Linked DNA regions of Oryctolagus cuniculus. The protein of the gene in region 2 purifies or fractionates together with the protein of the main gene of each other region. This does not show direct contact. Links are inferred from orthologs where the notes say so. Each region holds a gene or a part of one and is shown on either strand. Other genes may lie near its edges.

Region 1 (4,272 bases), on a different chromosome or scaffold from region 2:
GGTTATATTTTGGAGAGTTAATTATTGTGCTATCGCCACCTTCCTTTCCAAGTAAATTTAACTAAAAGTGCAAGGGGAAAAAAAAATCAAAATCAAAGAAACTGGAGGGATGAAGATTAAGAAATGAAGAAACTGCAAAGTCCGTTACCTCCTTCTAATATAGCACACTCTGGAATATCAAATGAAAGTTATCTTAGTTAACCATTAAGTTCCACACTGGTGCAGGCAGCACACTCACAAATATGTGAGTACTGAAGCTGACTCATAAAAATCTAAAATATTTCATACTTTAGCCTTATAAAATACCATTGGTTTAACCCATTCCCTCAGTCATGTTACTTTAAAACCAATATAAAAAATACGTTTAACTTAGTTCTGGAAACTGTACTTTGAAAATAGTAAATACTGAAAGCCACAAGCAATTGGATTTTTAAGGCATGATTCCTATATTTGATCCTGGATTTTACTTAATCAGTTTGCTAAGCAACTGCACTATATATCCTATACTAAAATAAATACATATAAGCTTATGAAAAGGGCTATCTAACAGTCTTAACTGATAGCCCCTTCAGGAAATACTGAAATCCTTAAATGAAAAATAATTTTAAAACTGACCATAACTACTAAATTCTCTGCTAAATTTTCTAAGAATCCCAGTTTAAGTCTTAGTTTATAATGTCCTTAGAAGGTTGAGCTCTCTTTTCAGATCAAAGACAAGTACCATATCATGTAAAATCAAATCTGCCCGCATTATGGATTTAGGAAGTCAGTAAATGTAGGCCAAAGACTTTTTATTTTAAGACACTCAAAGACACTGACTTGGGTTGCACAGTACATTTTATTCTAATGCTTTTGAAAATAAAGACATTTTAGTTATTTCTTACATGAATGGAAATGGAAGGAGCTCATAACAGCCCATTTCAAAGAGCTACCAAGTTAACAATTTTTCAACATGAAGTATTTCTCCTGTGGTGAGTACATGAATTTTACATCCTCAAGAACGTATCCTTAAGTCATATATGTAATTACGACTATGCAAATTATTTTACCAAAATTCCAAAAAGATCATTAAAGATTTTAACTGTTAAGATCATTTTACCCAAATTACCCACTACAAAAGTAGCAGAATACGAAACACTTGACTAAGTGGTTTGATAAAGTAGGCTGAAAAGGAAAATCACTCAGTAAATGAAGATCAAACAAAAACCCAAGTTGACATTAACCCTTTGAAAACAATGGCACATGTGCACACACACCCATACGCAAGAACTGGGAACTATCAGAATTTTTTCCCTAGTTTTCAAGAGTGCTGAGGAAGTCCAGCTTTGTAAGTTATGCAGAGGACAGTAAATATTAAGCTGCCTCAGAATTTACGCTACTGTACTTCCATTTTTAAGACCTGTATCTCAACTCCCCAGATGCCATCATCCACAGACACCATGCAGCTACCCCACAGACTTTCAGTGTCACCATTTATTATTTATAGCATTAAATGGGGGAAGTGGCTCTGATGTCACCAACCCTACCCAGTGGAATCACTGACTCAATAAACATTTTCACACTGGAGAAAATCTGGCTAGGAAAACATTTTGCTGGGTTAAGTAGATTCTTTAGCCTTTTCTCTCTCCACCCTACCAGGGTTGAAGTTGCTACAGTCTTGGGAGAGATACAAAGAAACTGTCGAGGCTTCTACAGGAAGAATCCCTGGGCATGGTCGTTTGCTGAAGCAAAGACTTCCTTCCCTCCAGAGCCCCGTTTGATTTATCTTCAATTGGCAGGTAATTCCTGCCATATTTTATTTCCTCCACCACATCGGCCGCCAATTAGCAAATTCTTCACTTCTGCTAGCCACTCTCGCATGGTCCTGTTTCTAAAAACTCCTCTGGATCCAAGTCGTAGACGGAAAGGGGAGGAGGGTGTCCGTGAACCGGGGAGTATCAGCCAATGGCTTCTAACAGAAGAATGGTCGCTCCCCCCAGGGGCCAAGGAACCCTCCCCCCCTCTTTTTTTTTTTTTTTTTTTTTTTAGAGAGAAGAAAGAATTGGCGGCAGTGATGAGCTCGACGGTCGCCTCGCTCCACCCCCCACCCCACCCCCAATTTCCCAAAGCAGCTCAAGGAAACGTGAAGTTATGGTTTCCCTTTCCAAGGGGATGGAATCCAGAGTACCTGGGGCCTCGCTGTGCAAACATCCCTCTCGGCTGGGTAGGAAACCCTTTGTCCGAGAAGCCTGACACCACAGGAGCCCAGGGAAGAGGCCCCTGATCCGTAACAGCCTCTGATCAGAGAGCTCCCCACCTCCCCAGTCCTGTAGGGCCTATCCCAGGCATCCACACAGCCCTGGGCTGGAGAGAGGGTGCTGAGACCCCTCTTAGGACCCGGAGGCCGAGGCAGCCCGTAACGATCTCCTCTGTACTCTCTCCCACCACCACCTCATTCGGCCTAAGTGGTGCTTGCAAGCGCGGTGCGGGCCTGAGCCAGAGAAATACAAGGTGCGCGCGCGGGGGGGGGGGGGGGGGGGGATGATCGCCTCCTAAAAGAAAGAGAATGAGATGCTAGCACGATGTGACCTAAAGCTACAGCATGAACGAGCGAGGGTCGTTCCGAAAGATGGGCCGGAGACGGGACAGGGACGGGGGGGGGTGGGGGGAGAACCGAGGGGCATGGAGGGGGCCGGGCCAAGTCCGGCCTGAGATCTCGAGGGATCGGGAGGCACCGCGCTGGGCCCGAGGCCAGGACACGGCTGGCCCGGATCTGGGCCGAGGCGGCGGGGAAGGGCCAAGGCCAGCCTCGCGCCGGACGTTGAGGTGGGCAGGCCCGCCTGGGGCCGGACGGACGGAAGAACGGACGGTCCAGCGGGCCGCACTCACCATGAGCTCGATGGTCTTGTCTTCAATCACCGAGTCGGGCTCCATGGCGGCCCCGGCGGCCCCGCCTCGCTCTCCCCGCGCAGCAGCGAACGGCCCGGGCGGAGGAGGCGACGGCGGAGGCTGCAGAGGCGGAGGCGGCTCTCGCACCCACTCTAGCTGCCAGCCCGCCCGGGCCGCCGGCAGCTCCGCCCTCCCCCTCGGCGAACGCAGTACGCACGGCGGGCACTACAGCTCCCAGCAGGCGCCGCGGGCCCCGCAGAGCGTTGTGGGAACGAGAAGCCGACCCCGAGCCGAGCTTTCCTGATAGCCGGAAGCCAATTCTGAGCCGAAAGTAGCACTGCCCTGTGAACGCGGGACGTACAGACCAGAAGAATTAAGGGCTGGCTCGGGGTAGGGTCTCGGGAGCGCCACGACTACATGTCCCAGAAAGACTTGCGCGCAGGTTCTCCTTCCGGCTGCCTTCTCTTGACTTCCTGGCAGCCTAAGGCTGCGGAGACCGGGACGGAAACTCGGAGACGACTCCCCGCTTGTCAGAGATCCTGCGTGTGCGACCAGTTTCCGCACATGCGCGATGGGTGTCTGCAGTGCCCATTCGACGCCTAAGTAGCGAGGCTTCGGGTCCGCCGGTGCTTGGGGGAGGGCGAGGGGGAGGTGGTGGAGACTGATGGATTGAGTGCATTAGGAAGGTGGGCTCTTGGGGCTCAAGTGTGGGAAGAGGACGGCAAGAGAGAGAAGCTTGACCGAGGGAAGCAGCTGGAAGGGTATGGGAGGACTGAGGGGGCTGGAGATGAAGTTGGGGAAGGGGGATGCTGACGTGCTGTGGGCCTGTCTGGCTGCCCCACGGATTAGGAGCTGAGAGACCAAAGGGAACGTGCGTGGGCTGAGCCGCTCTTCCTCATTCATTCGTTCAGAGCTGCTTTGTAAGCATCCACCTTTGCCGCGTACAGCTGTAGGCACAGGGAGTCAGCTCTCAACATGACTCTGTTCTCGTGGAGTTTAATTGTGAGAGGAAGGCGGCAGACACGAACGGGAAGAATGGCAGGTGCTCAGAAGCAAAACTTGGAGACTCCTCTCAGTTGAACTCAGCCTCCTGACTTTGCAGACTTCGCCATTCCTCTGACCAGAACCCAGCGGGAACACACGGAGGGTTGAACGCATTGCTTTTCCTGCTAGTTGAAGTGAGTGAGAGCACACACCAGGAGAAGCCGGAGGAGGGCGTCTCAGGAAGGTGATCCGGGAGACTTGAGGCCGTCGAGACTGTCAGGCAGTGGTGGTCATTCGTTGATCGTCCATCTCAATAAATCTTATCAGAAGGAAGGGAATTTTGGGTAGAGGCTTAAGCTTTAGTTGGTAAAGGAGCAGCAGCCCCCTCCAACTAACTGGAATGGGTGTTTGGTCATTTTT
Region 2 (3,801 bases):
TCCTCTTCTGCCCAGTGTGCCCCTGGACAGCCAGAGGGCACCAAGGCCTGGCCTGAGACACCAAGGTCAGGCCGCGAGGCCCCGCCCAGCACCCGCGCTCACCTGGGTCCGCAGGTGCTGCTGTTCCCGCTCCAGCTTTTCCTGGTGCAGCAGCCGCACCTGTTCCTGCTGCTGCTGCAGCTGCACCTGCTGCGCGATCACCTTGAGCTTTTCCGGGTACATGTGGGCCTCCAAGGAGCGCACCTGGACGCGGAAGGACAGCAGGCTCAGGCCAGCGCCTGCACCACACCCTCGTCCACTGCTGCCACAGCAGTCGCTTGCTAAAATCCTCAACAACGCCAGCACACAGAGCCCTGGGCTTGGACAGAGACGGCAGCCCTGACCACCGCCCACGACGCTGTCCTCACCTCCCACCTGCTGCTGCTGGAACTTGGAACACCCTCGGCCCTCTGGGCCCGATCCGCCAGAGGAGCTGTGGACCACGCCCTGGCACCATGCAAACGACCCCTGAGGCCGCAGCGCCATCCTTAGATTCCAGTCCTCCCTGCGCCCCCCACAGACCGCCCCCACCCCAGGGGCAGGGTCTCCCTGAACACCGGCCCGCGGCGCGCCCCTCACCTGCTCCTCCAGCATCATGCGCACCGGGCCCCCCCCCAGGGGCAGGGTCTCCCCGAACACCGGCGGACGGGAAGCCCGCGGCGCGCCCCTCACCTGCTCCTCCAGCATCATGCGCCCCGCCCCCCCCCCCAGGGGCAGGGTCTCCCTGAACACCGGCGGACCGGAAGCCCGCGGCGCGCCCCTCACCTGCTCCTCCAGCATCATGCGCACCGAGCGCTCCTTATCCAGCTGCTGCCGAAGCTCGATCATCTCCCGCCGCAAGTCCTCGGCCTTCTCGTCCTCCCAGATGTCCGGCGAGCCGATGCCCTCGTCCTTGTCCTCCGCCCGCCGCCGCTTCGGGGACGAGCCGCTCAGCTCCTGGGGAGGCCAAGGGGCCAGTGAGGGCGCCTGACACCGGCACAGAGGCGGGGGCGCTCCGCCACAGCCCCCACACGCCCCGCATGTGGATCCTGCAGATCCAACTGACTGGCCACACGGACGCAGAATGGACCCGGCTTCTAGAACATTCATCGGGTTCCCTCCTGAGCCCGCTCCACTGCGACTGACAGATGGGGACCTCGAGGCCCCAGGCCAGGGGTTGGGTCTGGCATGCGCCCAGGGGAGGAGGGCAGGGCCTGGGGGCGGGGGCGGGGGCGGGGGCTCCCGCAGGTACCTGGATGAAGCGCTTGAGCTGTGTGTTCTGCTGCAAGAGCCTGGTCTTCTCCTGCTCCAGCGAGAAGATGTACTCGGCCGTCTGCTGCAGAATGGCTGCCTGGGGGCGGCCGGGGACAGAGTCAGGCCGCGGCAGGGCCCCGCGGCTCGCTTGCTCCTCCCCCCCCAAGGCGGCCGCGGCCCCCGGGAAGGCCCCCAGGAAGGTCCCCGGGGCCCCGCCCACCTTGCTGAGCTTCTCTCCGTCCGTGTGGGGGATGAGGGTCTTGAGGGACTGGAAGCCCGCGTTGATGCTCTGCATGCGCCGCCGCTCGTTGCTGTTGGCGATCTCCCGCCGGATCCGCCGCTCCTGGTCCCGCTGCGTCTCCGGGGTCAGTGGAATGTTGGCCAGGCTGCCGGGAAGACAGGGCAGGCTCAGGCCGGCGTCCTCTGCACTCCGCCTCCGACTGGCCCCTGTCTTCTCCGTTCATTTCCGGAAGAGGGGCCTGAGTGTAGCCTGCACCCTTGACACTGCAAAAGGTGCCGGGCGTGCGGCCGGTGCTGCGGCACAGCAAGTAAAGCCGCCGCCTGTGCCGCCTACATCCCACGCGGGCGCCCATTCGTGCCCCGGCTGCTGCACTGCCAATCCAGCTCCCTGCTGATGTGGCTGGGAAAGCAGAGGTAGATGGCCCAAGTGCTTGGGCCCCTGCACCCACGTAGCAGACCCTGGAGAAGCTCCTGGCTCCTGGCTTCAGCCTGGCCCAGCCCTGGTCATTGTGGCCATCTGGGGAGTGAAACAGTGCATGGAAGACCCCTCTCTCTCTCTCTCTCTCTGTATGTAACTCTTACTTTCAAATAAATAATAAATCCTTTAAAAAAAAAAAAAAAGTGCCAGGTCTGCCTGATGCTGATGCTGGAGGGAGTGGGGGGCTGCATGGGACCCCAGGCAGACTGGAATCAGTGGGCACAGACAGCCCGCTCCAGACCGAAAAGTCGCCTGCTTCCTTTCTGGGGAGAGAGCTGTCCTCCGTAGCAGAGGCTCCCAGCTGTGTGTGGGTATCGCCTCCTTCAGAGTCGCTGGCTTGCCAGCCCAGGAGTGACAGATGGTCCCTCCCCCCCATCCCCACAGCCATGGCCAGCCACCAGCTCCACCCCAACCCCGCCCCCAGGCTGAGACTCCACAGGAGACAAGACAGGTGCCAGTCCCTCCACCACAGGGACCTCAGGCCAACAGCCCAGGGGACAGTCCCCCCCCAAGCGCATACACGCCTATAAGCAGACCCACCCTGAGGGACACAGAGCTCCGGCATGCTGTGGGCAGTGTTACTGCCGTGGCCAGTGGGGTGAGAGAGAAGGCAGCCAAGGGAGGGGCGAGGCTGTGGGCCGAGGGGCACTGGCGGGAGGCAGGCGGCAGCGGAGCCGGCGGGCCCAACGCCACTGCTCCCGAGGGGTGGGCCTGTGTGTGGCCTGGAGAAGGCTGGCCCCCCTTTCCAGGCCCCCCTGCAACTCCCCCGCCCGCGCCTGATGGCTTCCAGATGCTGGGCTCCCAGCAGAGGCCGCCAGCCCCACCCAAAGCCACAGCCAGAGGGGCCCTCCTGGGGTGACCCATGCCAGGCCTGGGCCTGGGGCACAGGGACAGCGCTCTAGCAGTGGCAACGGCAAGAGGCTCAACTCACTTAGCCTGACCTGGCCCCGGTGCCCATCCCCGGGCAGACGGCCTCCACAGGCCAGGCCAGGAAGGGCCAAATCTGCCACCAATGGACAGAGCCCACCCTGCACAGCCCGCCTCGGCCCCCACGGGGCCCTACACGCGTCCCTCAGCCAGGGGGATGACAGCCAGGGCCTCAGCCTCCTGTCCCAGCACGGAGGGGACCCACTGGGAGTGGGGTCCTCATCAAGCCAAGTCCCCTCCCCCAAGGAAGGAGGCTGGGTACCCCGCTTCGCAGATGGGACTTAGGGCTCAGAGTGGGCTGGGCTGGGCCTGATATGGGTCACACAGCTGGGGGTCCAGCTCAGAACTTGGGGGCCCAGGGACCTCCCTTCTCTGAGGTTCCCTGCCCCACAGTGGGAGTGGGGGTACTGGAAGGAGGAGGGAGCCAGGCAGAGCAGAAGTTGCTGCGGGGGCTGCTGGTCAGCCCACGGGGGAGAATCTGCCCCCAGGCCCGGCACAGCCCTCAGCCACCTAAGAGAGGCCAGCAGACCAAGGGGGACAGAGACGGCTCGGCAGCGCGCGGTTCAAGTTGAAGGGGTCGTGGGAGCAAGAGGAGATGGGGAGAGCCGGCCAATGGGTGCGAAGTCACCTGGCCACTGCAGTCTGTCTGGGGACATCCTGCCCCTCAGGAGAGAACTGAGGACGGACACCCTCCCCTACCCAGTCTCGGGTCCATCATGCCAACACCTAACGGCCTGGGCTAACCAGAGACTGGAGGTCAAAAACGAGCCCCCCTTTCTCTCTGTCTCTCACTATGCCTTTTTTTTCTTTTTTAAGATTTATTTATTTTATTTGAAAGTCAGAGTTACACACAGAGAGGAGATGCAGAGAGAGGTAGAGACAGA

The links.
Region 1: the proteins of TFAP4 (region 2) and FBXW11 purify together in Homo sapiens (affinity purification with mass spectrometry; 7 studies listed by BioGRID and IntAct, counting the BioPlex papers as one, with this or other methods). This does not show direct contact. The link is inferred for Oryctolagus cuniculus from reciprocal best matches to the Homo sapiens genes TFAP4 and FBXW11.

Annotation. Positions count from the first base shown.
Region 1 is NC_091437.1:58,691,754-58,696,025, forward strand, and holds the start of FBXW11 (F-box/WD repeat-containing protein 11), read right to left. Parts: upstream 3,062-4,272; 5' UTR 2,914-3,061; coding exon 2,869-2,913; intron 1-2,868.
Region 2 is NC_091450.1:31,318,220-31,322,020, reverse strand, and holds part of TFAP4 (transcription factor AP-4), read right to left. Parts: exon of another isoform or gene 2,531-3,801; intron 1,659-2,530; coding exon 1,493-1,658; intron 1,370-1,492; coding exon 1,271-1,369; intron 976-1,270; coding exon 805-975; intron 244-804; coding exon 103-243; intron 1-102.